2 linked regions of the Tamandua tetradactyla genome follow. The protein of the gene in region 2 purifies or fractionates together with the protein of the main gene of each other region. This does not show direct contact. Links are inferred from orthologs where the notes say so. Each region holds a gene or a part of one and is shown on either strand. Other genes may lie near its edges.

Region 1 (7,833 bases), on a different chromosome or scaffold from region 2:
CAGAGCTCTCTGATTCCTGGCTTTGAAGATGGAGGAAGGTGCCATGAGCCAAGAAATGTAGGTGACATCTAGAAGCTGGAAAAGGCAAGGCAAGAATTATTTCCTAGAGCCTCCAGAAGGAACACCAACCACTTTAGAAAGACCTTAATTCTCATACTGTGAGACTCATTTGGAACTACTGATCTCCAGAACTGCAAGATAGTACACTTGCATTGTTTGAAGCCACTAAACATGTGTTGATTTGTTATAGGGCAATAGAAACTAATGCAATGTCCAAGACCCAGAACTACTATGTTAGAGACTCAGAATTTTGAAAACAGGAATCAGAATTTTGGAAACAATTTACTGAAGTGGTCCTTAGGGATTCTTTTCCTGGGGCCCTGGGGATGACCACAAGTTTGGAAAAGAGAAACCATGTGAAGTGGTTTGTGAAGGTCAACCTAGCAAGGGTGTAGAAATAAAAGACTTTCAGGAAGCACTGACTCACCATCTGTCCGGTGGCCTATTGCAGACTGTAGGTCTTTACTGATGCCATAAAACATTTTATTTTTAGCCATGTTTTTTTCTTTACTGGTTTCATAATTCATTATGCAAAATTTAATCATGAAGACAGAAGGTAAAAACTGTGGGTTTGATGACCTGATCTAGAATGTGCCCAGAGTATCATATTTGTTTAATGTGGTCTCTACCTTATGGGCATGTGTTAAAAATAGAACCACTTACAACCAGTTCTAACAACTAGGGATTAAAATTCTTAAAGAGAGAGAGAGAGATAGTGAGAGAGGGTGAACTGTAATTTTATTTCACATTTAGCAAATCAGAGGCAGTAATTTTATTTCACATTTAGCAAATCAGACAGATGTATGAAATGAGTTTGTAGGTCGCACTCAAAGAATGATATAGCCGTTATTAGCAGTCTTGAATAAGAAACCCCATTCTTCAGAAGATGTACAGCCTCATGGCAGCAGGACCAGGGGGGAATGATCCAGGGCTTCTCCTGGACTGAGGGGCCACCCCACCCTGCGGAAACCTGCCCTCCTGCTATTCTGCAGTGAGCTGGTCAGCAGTAAAGGAGAATAGATTTATTGTGCAGGAAGGGATGACTGTTAGGTTGGGGGACACTGAGACTCCAAGAAGAGAATACTGGAAGGTTATACAGCTCCTTATCATACATATATTTCATTTCTTCATCTAGTTAACAATTATTTAGGGCACACCCACTGTATGCTACAGGCTGGGAATACAACTCTGAACAAAACAGACCTTCTTCCAAGCTCTCGTGCAGGTAGACCCTGTACCAGAGGACGCAGATGTACCTGGAGCCTCCTTCTCACCTGCCTTCTCCTTGTCCAGAACCGGCAGGAAGCCATTTCTAAGAGGAGTGGTCCCCTGGCTATGAACTCTTCAAGGGCAGGTTGCTAGGTGCTTTCATTTTTGTACCCCCAGCATGCAGCGCACACAGTATATGGTCAATACATTTAAATTTAAGTAAATAAAGCTAATAGACCTTTAGTTCAAAGCATTAATATTTATTTCCCGCTTCTGCATATCCCAAAGTGAGCTCACACAGGTGGGTTCCTGCTTACATCTTGTGGGGAGAGAAACAGCTGAAAAATAATTTGATGAGGTGTCATGAAAAAGGCCCCAGTCCAGCCCAAAGGTAACAGAGAAATTTTCTCGGGAGAGTAAGCATAATCCCTCTGTAATGGAAACTCCTTTTTCCATGTCACAGAAAGTTGAAAGGTTAAGACGTCACCCACTCGCAAATGTTTTCAGGGTTGTTTGTTATCAGCTAGGCACCATCTGTGGATAAATGAAACCCTCTAACACGTAAACTACATTTTTGAAAAACCGAAAATGATGGACAGATAGTTTCTGTAAATATGTGCTTTGTCCTGCTAACTAAGAGGAAATAGGACAGAAATCCAACCACTTTCTTTTGTGTTAATGGGCTTCTCTTCCCCTGTTCCCAGGGGGGTGCTGGCTAGAGTAGGTCTCATGTAAGCAAGTCTACAGTCCCACCCAGTCGATTTTTAAAATCATTTACTAAAATCTGTGTTTACTTTTCAGATCTCCCCAGTGGAGTTGTGGCAGAGCCTGATTCCGACCCTGCAGCCCGTCTCCCCCAGGGGTTTTGACACCCCAGGGAGCTGATCCCTGAGGCTGGAGCAGCTGAGGTTTTGCTGCAGAAATCATCATCCCACGTGTTCAGGGAAAATGCAAATCCCTGCCTCCTTCACTGCCCGCAGAGACCACCCGGAAGCCACCAGCAAGGACAGAAGCTGCTGATGAAGAGGGCAGAGAGGGTCCTTTTTCAAACAGGCAGAATGAACTTCTCAGCTGAGAGATGACATCCTTCCCTCAGGCAAACTTAACCCATGGTGGGAAACAAGGAGCTGGTTTCTAGGTATTGTTTTCCTGAGTCTCCCGCATCTGGAGATAAAGAATTATCAACTGCCCCATTGTGGTAAAAATGGATGTGGAGTTTGACGACAAACACCAAAAGTGCTTTAAATGTTGATACCTGGGATTCCCTCTGGACTTTGTACCCTGCAGTGATCATACATGTGGGCAAAGATTCACAATGATGCTTTTTTCTTGGAAACATTGTTTATCATGGTGAAAACTTGGAAAAACCTAAATACAAGGGGTGGGGGAAGGGAATGGTTAAATAAATTACAGCAAATCTACCTAATGGGATTATGCCTTAATTTAAAATGATCACTGTGAATGTACCTAACAATAGCGGAAGAGGCTTCTTGATAAGATGTTAAGTAAAAGTAGAAGGATAAAACAATGTCAGCCCCAACCCTTCAGGATGGCAGCGCAAGAAGCTTTGGGGATCCACCCTTCTGAAATACTTTGAACCAACAGCAAGAACTGGCAGAAACATATTTCTCAAAGCTCCAGAAAACAGATAAAGGATTGCAGTCAGGGGGCCAGGGCCAAGTCAGGAGAAAGGCTCCTTATAAGCGGTAGAAACTTCTTGGTGCCCTGGTTGGTCCCTTTCCCACCCTTACCGTGGTGGAGCCAGCCTGCACCCCCAGTGTTGGTCCCTGGCCCCAGTTCCAGAGGGAGCAGATTTACGTTGTATGCATGTTTCCACAATTAGAAAAGAAAGAGAAACTAAAAAGAGTGACAATTAAGTGCAATGCATTGGATGGGATCTAAGAATGGAGGAGAAAAGACTCAAAAGGACATTAGTGGGATATAGGAACTATATCAATGTTAAATTTCTTGAACTTGAAAACTGTACTGAAAGTGATCACATAAGTGAATATCCTTGTTTGTAGAAGATGTGCATGGAAATAATATGTGTTCAAAGAGTATGATGTGTACAACTTACTCTCAAATGTTCAGAAAATAGATAAAGATAAATAGGTGATAGATGGGTGGGTAGATAAAGAATGATACTTCAAAGGTGGCAAAAGATTAAAATGGGTGGATCTGGGTGTTGGGGGCAGTGTATTAAAGTTCTCTGTATTGAGTTTGTATTATTTTTGCAATTATCCTGTAAGTGTGAAATTATTTCAAAATAAAAAGTAAAAATAAAAGTCTACCAAGTTGTGAGTTTACTGCAAACAAAGAGTCTACCACCTGCATATGAATAAGCCTGAATGGGGGGAGAGGGCAAAGTTATCCCTCTTTTAGCATTTGGGTTAGCTTTTTTCTATTATCTGAACTTTAAGTACAAGTATTAAATTGTTCTTATATTTAATGAATCTTCTGAAAGAAGACTATAGATCTCTTTTTTTCGATGTGCACGTTACTGGAGAATTAAAGGTGTTTAATATTCTGCCTGCACTATATATTAAAATGTAGATTAAGCAGCTTTAAGACAGGATAAACTTATGAAGCATGTAATAACATGGATGGACCTAGAGAATATTATGCTGAGTGAGTCTAGCCAAAAACTAAAAGACAAATACTGTATGGTCCCACTGATGTGAACCGACATTCGAGAATAAACTTGGAATATGTCATTGGTAACAGAGTCCAGCAGGAGTTAGAAACAGGGTAAGATAATGGGTAATTGGAGCTGAAGGGATACAGACTGTGCAACAGGACTAGATACAAAAACTCAAAAATGGACAGCACAATAATACCTAATTGTAAAGTAATCATGTTAAAACACTGAATGAAGCTGCATCTGAGCTATAGGTTTTTTTTTTTACTATTATTATTATTACTTTTATTCTTTTCTCTATATTAACATTCTATATCTTTTTCTGTTGTGTTGCTAGTTCTTCTAAACCGATGCAAATGTACTAAGAAACGATGATCATGCATCTATGTGATGATGTTAAGAATTACTGATTGCATATGTAGAATGGTATGATTTCTAAATGCTGGGTTAATTTCTTTTTTTCCGTTAATTAATAAAAAAAATGTAGATTAAGCTTTGTACATATGTTTAAAAAGATATGTAAAAATGTATTTGTAAAAGTCTGCCTAAATCAAATGCCTGCTAAGAATTTTTCAAAGTGCATCACTTTTTTTCTTCCTTACCAGAAAATTAATTGCCAGGAAACCTCTTCAACTTCACATTTAGGACGCAGGTTATTGCTCCCCCAATTCGCTGAGGGGTTCCAGGACGCCCCGGTGTGCTCTGCAGCACTAAGGGGAAGGCACTGCCTCCCTCAGTCTCCCCCAGTCCCACCCGAGGAGCGAAGTGGGGTCTTCCCGGTAGTGCCCTGCCCAGCTCAGCGTCCTAGCCAGAGGAGCGCCCGCTGGCGGAGGTCGGCGAACTGCGGCGGCGGCGGCAGCGGCTGCCTGGGTGGGGCGGGGCCGTGGGCGTGTCCGGTCTGTTCCTGCGAGTTCGGAGCCCATGGGAGCCTCCGCGAGCCTGGCCCGTGTGCGGCAGGGGCTGTGCGCCGCTCATCCGGCCCCCCACACCCCGAGAGCCAAAGCCCGCGTGGCCATGACCCAGGTAAGCAGAGGGTGCTGGTTGGGGGGGGGGGGGGGGCGTGTGCAGGAGGCGCCATGCTGGGAGGAGCCCACCCCTCTTCCCGGGTGCTGCTTCCCCGGGTGCTGCTTTCACGTGGCGCTCAATGGAACCGTCCCTAGACTGAGACGCGTCTCCCATGCTGGCGCTGGCAGAGTTTTCCAGGCTGAAAAGTTTTGTTTGGCTGCTGGGGGTTTGCCTTCAGCACGGGTCCCAAACCGGGATGGGTCGCTGACGGTCCCGCAGCCGGCCTTGCTGTGGTCGGCTTTGGCCAGCTAAGTCAGAGACCCGTGCCCTCTCGGTGCCCCGGGGGATGGCAGTCAGCTTCGCAGGGAAGAGCGCTGTGTCTGCGCCCATTTGCCATCCTCAACAGGCAGACCCCACAGGTCATGGGTTAGAGGGGAGAAGGTCCTTGTAAAGTTTTCTGTCTTCTGGGATGTGAGGGGGGAGGGTATGGGCTTTGGACCCCAGCAGGTACCCGGTCTCCGGTCTGGGAACCTCACTTTTCTTAGTTGTAATCCGTGATTAAAAAAATTTTGATTTTGGGATATGCCTCTTTCAATCCCAGTGACCACTTGTTCCTCCACAGCGTTTGCAAATAAATTCGGGGCCATCTCGTTCTCAGTGGCTTCTTTTTACAGAAATCTGCTCCTCCATTAGGCTCTGAACACTTCTCTGGTGTATTAAAACACTGCCTGCGTTTCTCTAAATGCGTTCAGCACCAGTTATTTATGAAGGCAGGAAAGGCAGATTTTATTAAATCCTTAACCACCCTACCACTTCCCAGCCCAAACTTGTCCTCAGCCCCCAACTTTATTTATAAACAGTACCTTCAAGAGAGAGAGTGTTGGCTTCTAAGCAACTAGCCCACATTCAAATGTTACTTCTTTGCTGAATAGCTCAGTAGCCTTGGGCAAGTTGCTTAACTTCTCCGAAGCAGCTTGCTTACCTGCAAACTGACAGGCATGCCTTTAGGGGAAGGATCAACAAAGTCTGGTAGATCAAAGAGCTCAGCACAATTCTTGGTGTTTTAGCTCCCTCCTCTGCAAAAGCTGGGAGCCTTTTAGGTAATCTCAAAATGTGCGTATCTGAGTTTACCCAAAATAACTGTCCCTCTGTTAAACCATGGAGGAAAGTCATCCGTGAACTGTAACAAGACTTGACTGTGGAATACTGTCCATTCCTCTTTCAGCCAGTCCAGTGGGGGCTCTGTCTATGGCACCAGGGAGATGAAAATGAATATAGCTTCTGTTATCACGGTCTTCGGGCTGGAAGAGGCACAGAAGATTAAAAACCAACTGGAACACCAGTCTATAAATGCAATAATATAACAGCTGGTCCTTCCCTAATACTCCCTCTGTGAAGTGTTAAATACTTACAAATACTGGCTCACTTAATTATTACATCCCTAGAAGGAATGGCACATTATTCACCCCATATGATCGATAAGAAGAGTAAGGCACAGAGCCCTTCCGAATTTACACAGTCACTAAGAGACAGAGAAATACACACCCAGGCATGCATGCCCGAAGTTCATGCACATAACCATCCGTACTAAATGGATTTCACTATCTCAGTGAGCAAAGCCAGAGGAGGCAGGCTTAAATCTGTCTGGTAACCTGCAGTTGCAGGAGGAAGTGTAGGATTTTGGTGGACAGGGAAGCCAGGAAAGGCATTCTGAGTACACAGCGTGAGCAAAGGTCCAGGGAGTAAGAAGTTTGAAAGCCAAATGCCAAACTGAGAAACAGATCTGGAGAGGAGAGGCAGGAAATGGAAATGGAGGTTTCCTAAGTCTGACTTGCTTTAAGATGGGAAAAGTAAAACTCTGGCACTGGGGAGAATGTGTTTCTGGGAAGCCAGTTCTCCCTTGCACCAGAGACCCTAATGAAATATTCAATTTGCGGTTGTGGGCGCCCAAACTTCCAGCTCCCAAATTCTCCCCGTTGGTTTTACAGGAAAGCCAACCACTTGCCAACAATTCCCTTTTCTTTGTACTTATCACAGAATTCATGGGCTTTGATTAGGATACATAAATATTTACTAGTTTTAGTTTGATGTGACTTGGTGGTTGAAATCATAGAAGTTCAGCAAGTCAGAGGATATTGGAGTCCAGAGAGGGAACACAACTTTTTCATAGTCACACAGAAAATTAGTGGCAAAGACAAGGTGCACCAGAGGCAGAACTGCTTCAGGCATCTCCCAAGAAGTAGTTTGGATCCTGAGAGCAGAGGAAGCCTTAAAAATATTCACGTAACTTCTGTTCCATCCTGTTGGACTAGTAGAAGGTTCTCACAGTCAGCAGATCTTGCAGACAAGAATAGTTTGACCAAATGAACTTCTGAATTTCTCCATTCCACACTTGCCTTTCAGTGTTAGAACTCTGCATAACAAATTCATTGAGCCATAGGTTTTGAGTCTCAAGCAAGGACTCAGCACTTTGCATTTCTTGTCCACAACAGTCCTATGCAATAGGCATTTTCATCATGATTTTCGTGAGGGAATCATAGTTGTGAAAAGTTAAGTAACTTGCCCAAGTTCATCCAGAATGTAAGTGGCTGAGTTGAGATTTGAACACAGGCCTGGGTGATTCTGAAACCCAGGCTGTGTTGAGGCCCGTTTGTGTCTCATAAAGGAGAGCATCCATTCATTCTTGCTAACGACTATGCGTGGTTCCTGAGGAGCAGCCCACCACAGTGTGGGTGGGTTTGTAGGACTCCCTCCATCCACATAGCTTCCAGATGTGCAGATTCTCATGCTTTCTCATGACTTTGCTTCACCACATCAAGTGGCATGGTGTGGGTACCCAGGGACCCATTTCCCTCCCTGGGCTAATGGGCATTTTCCATTTCACTGAGAATTTTGCATTCGGTTGAAGGCAGAGCCTCCTA
Region 2 (6,828 bases):
CACTGCTTGTACCTCTCACTCTCAACCCCAAGGGTCAGTGAGACCTGCAGTAGGGAAATGGGATTCACACCAGGCCTGGGTGATGCCAAAGCTGGGGACTTGTTCCCAGCACAGCTTTTTCCACCTTCCACAATCTCCTTCTGGAGAGGGCTTGATTCTCCAAGGAAATAGGCAGGAGCTCCCTGGTGAAGCCAGTGATCACAAGGCCTAAGAACAGCTACCCCAGCGGGAGGGCTGGCCTCCGAGGGGTCCCGTTTCCCCTGGGTCCCACCCCCACTGAAAGTGAGCAGAGATGGACCAGCGCCCTTTCCCAGCGAGCTCAGCAGCTCAGCCCCAGCACCTGCTCTGCAGGAAATAGAAAGGGACTTTGCAGAAAATCTGCCTTTAATCTTGGCTTCCTGTTTTCTGCCCCAGGGGACCGCCCAGAAGGTCTGAGTTTCAAACTATTTCACACCAGCTTCTCTAAACTGTCATCTTGGCGCAGTGAGGCTGGGGGAGGGGAAGAAGCAGGGTGGAGGAAGGAGGGGCCCTTCCCGTCCCCAGGGACTCAGACCCAGTCCAGCCATTAAATGCTTCAGCTCTGGACTTCTGGAGAGCCACCCAACTTTGCATAGAGCTGTCAGTCGACTCTCCTTTGTTCCAGCCACTTCTCGTCTCCCCTCTACTTCCACCAGAGCCCGCGCCTAACATCGCTGGCCTGGGCCAGGGTAACAGCGGTATTGGACGTCCTAACTGGCCTCTTCATTCTCTCCACCCTTCACTCTTAAGCCCCTCCCCCTTACTCCCCAACAACCAGAGAGGCCTTCTAAAACACATTTCAGATCATGCCACTCCCGGGCTTAAAATCCTTCTACAAGATTCGATGCAAACTCATGTAATAAAATCCCAGGCCCATAATGCCCTACAGGATCAGGCACTTGATTCTGGCCTTCCCTGCTTCCTCTCAGGCCACTCTCCCCTGCTTGCTGGTCTCACCACTTTGGCCTTCTGGATGTCCCCTGGCCGCAGAGCCCTTTTCAGCCTGGGTCTAAAACCTCCCGGTGCCCTAGGCTTGGAACATCTTCCCCCATTCCTCCAAGGTCTGGCTCCACCTTCTCCTCTGGGTCTCAAAGTGGAGAACCATCTCTCCATCCTGTCAAGCCCATCACGTGCTCAATTCCTTCATACCACTGTCTAATTACTGTTTATTTATTTACCCCCTTAGGCAAGAATCGGGGTGGTAGTAGTCATTCCTTCATCTTGAGCATCCAGAACAGGACCGAGCACTTAGTAGGTACTCACTAAGGATTTGCTGAATGAATGAATGAATGAGGAGGTTGGAGGTGACTTGTCTGGCACTCCCCCTAAAGGATAGCTCTATGGGCTGGAGCCTGTGACTGATCTGTTCAGGGTTTTAGCCCCAGTCCCTGGGGTGCAGAGAGGTTAAAAATCTTCCATCGACTCCTGTTGTGAGGTGGAGGCAGGATTCAAATGCAGGTCTATTTGACTCCAAAGTTCACAATCGGCGCATGCAGGAAAAGGGTCAAGTGTTTTGGGGGATGAAGGGGGTGGAGACAGGTTGGTGATGAAGCTCCTCAGGGATTGGAATATTTTTCTCCAAATCCTGACAGTCCCTTCTTTCCCATCCTGCCAACAGATTAGGCAGGGGGAGGGGAAGGAGATGTCAACCCCTCCATTCCAGAAGTCTCTGCTGAGCAGCTGAGGGCAGAGAGGCAGCCACCCCACCCCACCTCCATCCGGCCCCACCTTATCATTCCATCTAGATCTCCGGAGGAAAGAAAGGGAAATCAGCCCTGCTGAGCACCCTCCCCACGCACCCCTCGCCCACCCCCAGGCTCCTGTCTTGCTGAATCTGCACCACTTCCCTTGAGAAAGGTGTATTCTGAGCCTGGTTTTATAGAAGAGGAAACAGCTCAGAGACCTCAGGCAACTAACACGGCTAGTAAATGGACAAGCTGAGAGTTAACCCTGAGATTTGAACTTAAAACTCATGCTTTTTTTCCATTACACCACAGATATTTTTTTAGACTTCCTGGATATCTCCCCAAAGGGTAAGCATGTTACTGCTGTTTCTCTCCCCCAAAGGTCTGGCCCCTTGCTAGGAAGCTGACCCAGGGGCTTATTGGGTCAGAGGGACAACCTGTGGTTTCTCTGGGGTGGGGTGGGGGACATTCAACTCCTGCTCCTGGTATTCAAGACCCTTTGCAATCTGCAGCCACCATGTCTCCCCAGCACTATCTCCCACAGGGCCCTTCCCTGTCCCTTTTACTCCCTTGGCCCCTCCATATTTATTTTGGGTTCCAAAACTTTGCCAACATGCCTCACGTTCCCCACCAGGGAAGGCACCCTCCTCTCTGCCCACACAAGCCTGATGCTTCTGAACTCCTTCCTTTGACACTGGTATATTCAGTTTCCTCCACCACAGCCCCAACCCCCAACCCCAGCTCACACTGTCTGGTGGTCCTGTAGCTCAGAGCAGATCACTTTCCGCAAAGATATATATCAGCCAATACTTAATTAAGGACTCAACGTGTACCAGCCACTGCACACTAAGCACTTTAAATTTATTAACTCATTTCCTCCCTAAAAATCTTAAGATATTAGTGCTATGATTCTCCCCATTTTAACAAATGTGAACACTGAAGTACAGAGAAGTTAAGTAAATGACCCAAGGTCACACAGCTTTTAACAACTTCCTCATTGCCATAAGGCTGGAAATAAAGTCCAAGGAAGTCCCACAAGGCTCTTCGTGATTGCTCTTGCCCATGCTGCTTGCAGGGACCTCATCTCCTACCACTCTCACCTCACCACACCCCAAGCTGCTTGCTCTTTATAGTTCCCAGAAGTTTTCTCCTTTCTCACCTCTCCCTTGTCTTCCCCCATGCTGTTCCCTTTGCCTGGTGTCCCAGCTCTGTGAAGTCTCCCCATCAACCCTCCCTTCTTTTCTGCTTCCTGTGGACCTTGTACATCACCTCTCTACTTTTATCAATTATTTCTTTGCGATTTTCTTTTAACCTGTCAGTCTTCCCACCAGACTGAGATCTCCTAGAGAGCAATGAGTGAATGAATGAATGAACGCTCACTGCGGCCAGTGAGGCCCACCCCCTACAGACTGGAGGAGAGGCCCGGCCTCCATCGCTTCTACTTTGGGAAAGCTGACAAGAGAGCGCTCAGAGCTTGTTTCAAGGTGGGGTGGTCGACCCTCTGAGGGGGACCCTCAGGAGCCTCCAACACAGACAGGCCGGTGGGGGCAGGGCGTGGGCGCGGACACACCCCCCCCGCAGTGCCGCCGGCGCCCGGCAGGGGGCGTCGCCTCGCCGGCCCACGCCCCGCCGCACGCCGGGCAGGCCCCCTCGCGCAGGCGCGCTGCCGCGGGCGGAGGATCCGGGCCGCGCTTCCTCTCGCCAGGCCTGCGAGCTTCCTCCCAGCGGAGCCTCGGGCGAGCCGAGGTTGGCCGCCGCCGCCGCCGCCGAGACCGCCGCCGCCCTCCCGCTCCCGCCCCACCCCGTGCCCTGTCCCGGGGGGTCCTGCCGGGGTGGGGTCCGAGCGGGGAGACCGCCTGTCCCCACCGCCGTCGAGGCTGTACCCCGGCCAGCCGCCCCTCCCGCCCTAGGCAGCCTGTGGCCGCCGGAGCCTCCGGGACGTGGAGCGCGGGGAGCCCCCGCGGCCCCCGATAGAGCGTCAGGGGCGGCCCCTGGCAGCGGACGCGACCATCCGAAGTCGAGCTTGGGTAGCGGCGTTCGGAAGCGAAACTCTGCGGGGGCCGCGCCGGCTACATTGTTTCCTCCCCCCTACTCCCTCCCACCCCCCCTTCCCCCGTCTTTCTTCCCTCCCCGACCCGGCCGCGCAGCCTGCCCCCTGCCTCGGTCTGGCCGCCCTGCCTCCCCCCTCTCTCCGTCCCCGGACCTCTTGGCACGCACCCCCGAGGACCCCTGCGCCCCCCCTCCCCCCGGCCGCATGGACTGTCCCGCAGGCCGCTGATGCCGCCCGCGGCGAGTTGGTTCGGACCGCAGCGCCGGGAGAGAGGTGAGTGCCCGGCGGCCCGGGAGGAGGCGGGGTGTGAGTGTCCACCGAGGGAGGACGGTGGAGGTCGCACGTCCCGCTTCCGTGGCTGCCTCCGTCGCGTCCACTCCCATCCCCCATCTCCCTTATCCCCTCCTTCCCAGCTTCAAATTCTCCCGGGAGTCCCTGTCAGAACTGGACCGGGAGGGGAGCACGCGGGGAGAGCCACTGCCCTGCGAGCCACACAGACTTGGCCCAGGCCTACCCGAGTTCCCCCCCTTGTGGAGCTGGGGGGATGGGGGTGGGGGCGGTGGCTGGAGCCTGGTGCCAGGGTGGGCCAGGACCCTGATGTTGGACTCCATGGGAATTTGCTCTTCCATGGCCAGGTCCTCCCTGCAGGTGTCCTGGCCTGCATGGGTCTGACCCCTTCCCCACTCCCCACCGAGGCCTTGCTAGCTTCTGGCAGCCCAGGGCCCAGCCACTTCCCTTGAACCTTATCATAGGCCCAGGTCCTGGGTTGGAGCCTTTGACCCTCTGCCTCCCAGAAGACCAGGCCTGAGCTGAGAGACCTCTGACCCTTGGGCAGGGAAACTGGGCAGGGCCTCCATCCTGGGTGCAGGCGACACTGGACATTAGCACTGTGCCCTCACCTCCATGCAGCTTGGTCAGCCCATTCTCCCAGGTTCCCAGGGCCCAGGCCAGCTGTCAGGAATGGGCGTGTCCAGCCTCTGTATCCTTGGAATTTAACTAAGGGTTTACTTCCCCACCCATTTTATAGACCAAGGAAACGAGGCCCAAAGGGGGAAGTCACTACCCCCAGACCTTTGGCAGAGTTAGGATACCATCCTTTCATACCCCATCTCTGCAGAGCTGGGCTGCCATGGATGGAGGGGAGTCTGGAAGGCACCATCACCCACTAGGGACTAAGGTGGCCTAGGAGGGATGGTGCGGGGTGAGCACGTGCTCCTCTACAGAGGACTAGAGAGGAGGGTGAGGGCTTCCGGCCCCAGCTCCTCTGGTCTGTACTCAGCGTCAGCACTGTCTGTGGGATTTCCCCTTGGTGGCTGAGGCTAGGTCCCACTGGTAGGAGATGTGGTAGGTGTGAGGTGCGAACTGTGTGGTGTGTCAAGGATGCTGGAGTCCTGGACCCTGACTCTGAGCTGGAACAACTTGGTGGTCAGTAGTGTTCCAGCCCTCCTGCCCTCCCCACCTCCCCGGCCCCCCAGCACGGAAACAGCCAAGTTCAGAACAGGGATGGGCTCAGGATCAGGAAAATGGGAGCCCTGATACCACTGGTAGCTCCCTACACCCTTTGCATGGTCCATTGTCAGAATGGGAACACCCACAGGGCCTATTGCAAAACTCCGCACCCTGGGTGTCCCACTGTCTTAGCATGTCCACAGTAGGAACAGGGCAAAGGCAGCAAGTGTGAGGTTGGAAGTATGGCAGATTCATCTTTATCCTAGGAGGGGGTGGTCCCTGGAGGGTGCTGAGCAGTGCCTGGGCTTCCTTGGTTGGGGTTGCTGGCAGTTTTGTCTAACTCGAGGCCCCTGCCCTTGGTTTAGGGTTCTCTCCCTGCTGCTCCATCAGGGACATTAGAGGGGACCCAGCTGTCCTGGGCCCCAGCCCTAACTTCCTCACCAGCCTGTGGATGGGACCTGGCATGGTTAGATGCTTTTTATGAACCGTGGGCTGTGAGGATGAGGCGTGGAGTCCCAAGGCCATTGTAGAAGGTACTAGTGTGTGTGCAGTTTTCATTTGGGAAACTTGGTACCTTCCTCCCCCTCTGAAGGGGCTTTTCTTCTCTCTACATCAAATGGAAAGCATGAAAGGACCAGAAGATGTTCCCAGGGGACTCTGGGCCTAGAGAGCTTGAGCCTCAAGTGGGAGTGTCCCATGGCAAGGGTTGGAGAGAGGACACACCGAATGAGCACAGGTGTGACATGACTGCCCCCAAAAAGTCTCTGGGTGGTTTATTAGGGAATGTGGCCTAGTTGGGCAGGACAGCGTGTGTCTAGTTCTGGGCTCCATCTTTTGAGGTATTTTGGAGGATTGAGACCCAGTTCCCAAAGAACAGGAGTATTTGGTCTGGGAAAGAGAAGGTAAGGAGAGATTATTGGCTCTCCTCCTTGTGTGTCTGAGAAACTACTGTGTCCTGTAGTCAAGCAGTTGCCCTGTAGTGGAAAATGCTGGGGTCGTCTGCAGATGCCAGGATCTGAGCTGGGGGCAGGCCGGCTGCTACCTGAGTACTAATTTCTTAACTTTGAAAGTAACAAAACAGCACTACAGAAAATCTAGAAAGGAAAACAAAAATCACCCACTATTCCTTTACCTGACACAGTCATTATTAGCATTTTGGAGTTTCCTGCCAGCTTTTCCTGATTTCTTTTCTTACTGTTGCCGTTCGAATGTACAAGCCATGATGCCTTTTTTCATTTACTACTGGGGCCATAGGCATTTTCTCACATTCTGCACAGGCTAAGTAACTTTCCTCCTAAAAAGCTACAGAATATTCCAAATAGCTCTGCCAGAGCAACTTCACCCAAGCCCTGTTACTGAGCTTATGCATTGTTTCCCATTTATTAGTGGGGTGGTGTGGAGAGAATGCCTCCAGCAGGCTTTCTGGATGTGTGGTGGAGCTATTTGAGCTGTTTGAGCTGTTTGAGCCCTGGACCGAGTTGGCTAACTGCTTACCGGGCAGGGCTGAGGATGGCCCCTGCCCCAAGGTCCTCTGAACTGAGGTTCTGGGCTCCTATGACCAGTGCCTTGCCCCGCCTCCTGCCTTCCCCCTTCTTCATCACCATGTGATTGACCTGCCCTGGGAAG

Evidence for each region.
Region 1: the proteins of CSK (region 2) and TNS3 purify together in Homo sapiens (affinity purification with mass spectrometry; 4 studies listed by BioGRID and IntAct, with this or other methods). This does not show direct contact. The link is inferred for Tamandua tetradactyla from reciprocal best matches to the Homo sapiens genes CSK and TNS3.

Annotation. Positions count from the first base shown.
Region 1 is NC_135327.1:69,656,383-69,664,215, reverse strand, and holds the start of TNS3 (tensin-3), read left to right. Parts: upstream 1-4,823; 5' UTR 4,824-4,828; coding exon 4,829-4,930; intron 4,931-7,833. UniProt on the Homo sapiens protein: May act as a protein phosphatase and/or a lipid phosphatase. Involved in the dissociation of the integrin-tensin-actin complex. EGF activates TNS4 and down-regulates TNS3 which results in capping the tail of ITGB1.
Region 2 is NC_135338.1:67,191,931-67,198,758, reverse strand, and holds the start of CSK (tyrosine-protein kinase CSK), read left to right. Parts: upstream 1-3,815; 5' UTR 3,816-4,026; intron 4,027-6,828. UniProt on the Homo sapiens protein: Non-receptor tyrosine-protein kinase that plays an important role in the regulation of cell growth, differentiation, migration and immune response.